Kluyveromyces lactis: one gene and its partner. The protein of the gene in region 1 interacts with the protein of each later gene in a pairwise test. Links are inferred from orthologs where the notes say so. Each region holds a gene or a part of one and is shown in the gene's direction. Other genes may lie near its edges.

Evidence for each region.
Region 2: the proteins of DMC1 (region 1) and MEI5 interact in binary tests that used the Saccharomyces cerevisiae proteins (3 or more experiments, as listed by UniProt). The link is inferred for Kluyveromyces lactis from reciprocal best matches to the Saccharomyces cerevisiae genes DMC1 and MEI5.

The regions. Positions count from the first base shown.
Region 1 is NC_006042.1:1,096,380-1,099,697, reverse strand, and holds DMC1 (recombinase DMC1), read left to right. Parts: upstream 1-1,543; coding exon 1,544-2,533; downstream 2,534-3,318. Other genes in the region: ARX1 (putative hydrolase), read left to right, coding at 1-992; TMS1 (Tms1p), read right to left, coding at 2,660-3,318. UniProt on the Saccharomyces cerevisiae protein: Required for meiotic recombination, synaptonemal complex formation and cell cycle progression. Recruited to meiosis recombination hotspots by MEI5 and SAE3.
Region 2 is NC_006042.1:101,009-103,735, reverse strand, and holds MEI5 (Mei5p), read left to right. Parts: upstream 1-1,236; coding exon 1,237-1,893; downstream 1,894-2,727. Other genes in the region: mRNA-binding ribosome synthesis protein NOC2, read left to right, coding at 1-971; DNA-directed RNA polymerase III core subunit RET1, read right to left, coding at 1,977-2,727. UniProt on the Saccharomyces cerevisiae protein: Involved in meiotic DNA-break repair. Required for the recruitment of DCM1 to meiosis recombination hot spots.

The DNA.
Region 1 (3,318 bases):
ATTGTTGCGTTGTGCCTGGTTCTCGTATCAGAAGAATCAAAAGATTCCTTTCTGGTCAAAACGAAAATATCATTGTCGAAAGAGACTTCAAAGGTGTCATTTGGACTGAGTCTCATCAGGAAGCTGCTATGCTTGCTAGAACCGTCAATGAAACTGCTGTTGATGTCAAGCGTAAGAACCCATTTATCACCGAAGATACCGTGGTCCCAACAGATGATTTTACCGTTGTCAAGGGTGAAGTTTACATGATCGATTTGAAGTTGGCTCCATTGCAAGGATTGGAGCCAGGTTTGATCACTTTACACACTGTCGATCAATTCTCCGGTAAATCTGAATCCTCTGATGTGGTGGCTAGACCAGGTGCCATCTGCCGTGATTTTTCAAAGAGCCATGTTCTAAAGTTAAGAGCTGCTAGACAAGTGTTGACCAGATTGGATAAACAAGGTGTATACCCTACCAAATTAGCTCATATCGCTGATTCTTTCCCATTGGACGTACAGGAGCCTGATTTCGAAACCATCAAGCAAGAAATCAAGCCATTCAGATTAGGTCTTTCTGAAATTTCTAACAACTACCTAACAATCGACAGAGATGTCACCATCGTAAAACACGTTCCTTGGGCTAAGATCTTGGATCTAACAAACCCATCCGGTGTGTCAAGTTATGACGCCATGGCAAAGAATAAAGGTTTATACCCAGGTTTCGAGCTTCCTCTACCTAAACTAGGTTTGTCCAACCTACAGTTGAAATCCTTGCTAAAAAAACACTCTACGCCAGTTCCTGTGGTCCGTCAATGTGTCACTGTAGCCATCTGTGATGAAGAGTTGCTAAGAATCAGCGGAAACCTAAAATCTAACTGGGTTCATTCTGTTTACTCTATGGATACTGCAAGCAATATCGTTGCAGGTATATTCAAACTGGCTCAATTGTCCGAGGATAAGAGATTTGGTTTGAAGATCAGAGAAACTCAACCATGGAAAATGAAATTCTAATTTATTCATTACCAGTATTAACTACCTTCTTTGATAGAACTACTTCAACAGATAACAAATTCTATTTCATACACAAACACCCTTTTCGCATCTGCACACAATAACTCTACATTGATACACCAGTTCATATTATATTCAATACTCGTTTGATTTCGGTAGCCCAAGAGTCTTGTTCTTATGAGTCTTTATTCTTACCAACCAATTGCAACAAAAACAATGTATAAATAGCAACTTCTAAGTATCTTGTAGATCTGTACACTAGCAAAATCATAATAGAACTCAAGCTCTCAACTTTGTCATTAGTTCTTCTACTATTAGTGTGTTTGCTTCGGAAGGATTATCAAAACGTTCAAAATGATGGCGGCTAATTAGATTTTAGTATAAAAAGGATTTGGAGTCAGAAACCAAATCAACAAACCCAACTACCAATGAATATGACATAGCGAGATATCTAGTGCACATAACTAGGAGCGAGAAGGTGATCCTAAAAACCAATAACTTTGCATTTCATTCTACTTGAAACGTCCCATTCCATTTCTATTTAAGCTGTCATGTCTACAGAGACAGAAACTAAAACCAATGTGGTCAATATTGATGAGTTACAAAACTTCGGAATTAACGCGTCTGATATAACTAAATTGAAGACTGCTGGTATATTTACCGTTAACACTTGTTTGTCGACGACCAGAAGGAATTTGTGTAAAGTTAGAGGGTTATCGGAAGTGAAGGTAGAAAAGATTAAAGAAGCTGCCAATAAAATCATCACCATTGGCTTTATTCCAGCAACTCTGCAATGGCAGATTCGTCAAGCAGTTATGTCTATCTCTACCGGGTCGAAACAATTCGATTCTGTACTAGGAGGAGGAATAATGACAATGTCCATAACTGAGGTGTTTGGGGAGTTTAGGTGCGGTAAGACTCAATTATCCCATACGTTATGCGTGACAGCTCAATTACCAAAAGAACTAAATGGACCTGAGGGTAAGGTTGCATATATTGATACAGAGGGTACTTTCAGACCAGAAAGAATCAAGCAGATAGCACAAGGGTATGATTTGGATCCCGAAGTGTGCCTTGAAAATATCTCGTACGCCAGGGCACTCAATAGTGAGCATCAGATGGAGTTACTTGAACAGCTTGGCGAGGAACTCTCTTCAGGAGAATATAGACTATTAATAGTAGACTCAATTATGGCCAATTTCAGAGTTGATTATTCAGGCCGTGGGGAATTGAACGAGCGTCAGCAAAAACTAAACCAACATCTTTCTAGATTGAATCGTATCGCTGAGGAGAACAATATCGCAGTTTTCATGACCAACCAAGTTCAAAGTGATCCCGGTGCTTCTGCCTTGTTTGCTAGTGCCGATGGTAGGAAACCTGTCGGAGGACATGTCTTAGCCCATGCAAGTGCGACAAGAATATTATTGAGAAAAGGTAGAGGTGACGAAAGGGTCGCGAAATTACAAGATTCGCCTGATATGCCGGAAAAGGAGTGCGTTTATGTCATTGGTGAGCGTGGAATAATGGATTCTGATGAATAAGCCACTATGGGTGGCTCGTAAGAAAGACATACTTTCTATCGATAGAACGTTTTTACGAACAGAATAGTACAACTCTATAAACAAGTGACACACATCCATTTCCCTTACCACTTCGATAGGTGTTTTCTAATAGTCATATTCAAATCTTTCTGGCATGACAATGGGTGCGAATAAGGTCCAGCCGTATAAACCATAACAAATCCAAGCACTTATGATTTTAACCCATGAATAAAAGTATGTCCTGCCAACAGGAATAAAATCTCCAACATCATCTTGTGTAACATTTATAGTCAATAGGATCACAATCCATTGCGTAGCTAAAAAGAAAATGAAATGAAACAACGAGTAATTGTATTTTGTTACATTGAATTCATCATCATCACCATCTTCCCTACCAGAATCATTGACATGCATTCTTTGCTGCTCAGCTTCATAATCAAGCAAGGCGGATTGGGGCAAAGCACCCTCCTCAACTGCTTGTTTGATCGCTTGCAACCTCAGTTGATTACGTGTCTCTCCTATCCCGGAGTATTCAACATCATCATCGTATAAAGAAATCGCTCCGCTACTACCTCTTAGTGCGTTGTTTGCTGCAGCTCTGGTTGTCGTATATGCGATTGCGATAAAAGTGAACAGTGCACCTAGAACGGTACTGAACTTTCTGGTGTTACTTGTACGAACTAATGGATTGCAAAATTTATCGTCTGGTTCACTTGCCATAGCACTCATTGTTAAGTAAGTGCAATATACTGATACCATAGAACTTTGCGCAAGTCCACATTTTG
Region 2 (2,727 bases), about 1.0 Mb from region 1:
AGAACTCTGCTGCTGAACTTTTCGGTATTGATGACGTTATAAGTTATCAATCGGGTTTCGAATATATCAGACAACTAGCCATTCACTTGAGAAACAGTATCAATGCCACAACTAAGAGGTCCTCAAAGGTGGACCCATCAAGTGCTTACAAGATTGTATATAACTGGCAGTTCTGTCACTCTTTGGACTTCTGGTCTCGTGTTATATCCATCCAATGTAACCCAGAAAAGGAAAACGGCCACGAATCCCCTCTTAGACAATTGATTTACCCACTAGTCCAAGTTACCATTGGTGTCATTAGATTGATTCCAACAGCACAATTTTTCCCATTGAGATTTTATTTGATCAGATCCTTGATCAGATTATCTCAAAACACTGGTATCTTCATTCCAGTTTACCCATTATTATCTGAGATTCTCTCCTCTACTGCATTCACAAAGAAACCTAGAAAGTCAACGTTACCTGCATTTGACTTTGATCATAACATCAAGTGTACACAAGCATACTTGGGGACAAAAATATACCAAGACGGGCTAGCTGAGCAATTTGTAGATTTGCTAGGTGAGTACTTTGTTCTATACTCCAGAAGCGTTTCATTCCCAGAATTAACAACGCTTGCCGTTATCTCATTACGTCGTTATATCAAGAATTCTGAGAATGTAAAGTTTAACAAGATGTTGCAAAACGTGGTAGATAAAATCAACCAAAACGCTCAATTCATTACAAAGAAGAGATCAGATGTAGACTTCGGACCAAACAACAGAACAGAAGTAGAAAAATTCTTAAATGAAATATCGTGGAAAGATACTCCTCTTGGTTCCTGGGTTGCTATCCAAAATGAGGTTAAGGAAGAAAAGGCCAGACTCTTAAGAGAATCCTTGGAATCTGACGATGATGAAGAAGAAGAAAATATTTCTGACGGAGCCCAAGACATAGTAATGGATGATGCTGAATCTGAAGCAGATGAATAATCAAATGATTGTATGATAAGTTCAAACTTTCTTCAATTTTAAATTCATTGGTAATCCTATGTCTTCGACCATCTTATATTGGATTGCCTCCTTGTCAAAGACATCGGCGGTAAATTTCATGAAAATAGAAATTACATTATGTAAATTATTTTAAACATGTATACTCAACATTACATTCAGAATACAAAGCTCGGGAGTACAATCTGCGGTAGGCATAACTTGACCAAGTGGAATAATTCTTATACCAGTACTCATTACAGGCGTTATGTCGAATGTCATGAATTTTGAAGGTGATAGTGAAACAACCTTAGTTCAAGAGAATGATTCATTTAGTGATATCTTGCCCAAGTTATCTTGCAGAAACCCTGAAGAAAGATCTACGGGTAGTGTGTTACTTTTAAAGGAGATCCGGAGGTTAGAGAACGATCTTGATCGACAAATACGAGATCTTACGAAGAAAGAGTTTGCTTTGAAAAGGGCAGTGAAAATAATGCAAACTTACGACAACGAACTCAAGACTATCGAATTAATAAATAAATGGAGGTCTATATGTCAATGTGGGATGTCTTACATGTTGAATACCATATTGGTTAAAATTGATCGAATGGGCGGTTATCAAGAGTATAAGCGGAAAGAAATAGAGGCAAGAAAGCGCCAAGTTGAGTATCAATACGATGACGGCATTCAACAACAAATGGAAGAGATCTTGGAATCTCCGGACTTCTTTCATTTGCCAATTGAAGAAAAGGAAGAAATCAGGGAACGGATGGATGAGAAAGTGAGAGAAGCAGAAGAAATGAAACAGAACGAACTCCAGAAATTTGAGAATGAACTAAGGAAAGAAGATAATGATGAAATGACTTTGCAGGAGCTAGCGGCTAAACTAAAAGTTGACTATGATATGGTATATACTAATCAATAATGAAAATTCAAGTGAAAATGATGCTTTATAAGTAATACTGAATAAATAATGTTACTACTAGAATCGTCAGAAAATGCTTACAGTCAAGCTTCAAAGACATCGCCTAATTTCAATCTTGGTGCAATGTTCATCGCAAGCAATTCCTGGAATAAAAGTTTGGCTGCATAAGGAATAGTCATTTTGACAACATGTTCAGCGGTTTTACAGCTTGTACACCATCCACTATAACCCATCAAACCACATTTTTCACAAACATCGACTTCAAAGGCATCAGAACTTAACATTAATCTTTCCAACAATAGTTGTGAAGCACCGTATGCGATAACACAGTCACGTTCCATTTCACCCAATCTTAGACCACCATCTCTAGATCTACCTTCTGTTGGTTGACGCGTTAACACTGCCCTTGGACCTCTGGCTCTTGCGTGCATTTTGTCAAGAACCATATGCTTCAACTTTTGATAGTAGATTGGACCAAAGAAAATGTAAGCTTGTAAACATTCACCAGTAATACCAGAATAAAGCATGTCCTTACCGGAATAGTTGAAACCATTATCGACTAAAATCTTTGACATGTCTTCTAACTTAGATCCACCGAAACAGGTACCGTATTCAAGGGTACCATTCAAGACACCAGCTTTACCTGATATCAACTCAATCATTTTTCCAACGGTCATACGAGATGGGAAACCATGTGGGTTCATGATAATATCTGGTACTACACCTTGATCGTTGAAAGGAAGATCTTCTTGTTTTACGATGATACCACAGACACCCTTTTGACCATGTCTCGATGAGAATTTATCACCCAATTCAGGTCTTCTGTTTTGTCTC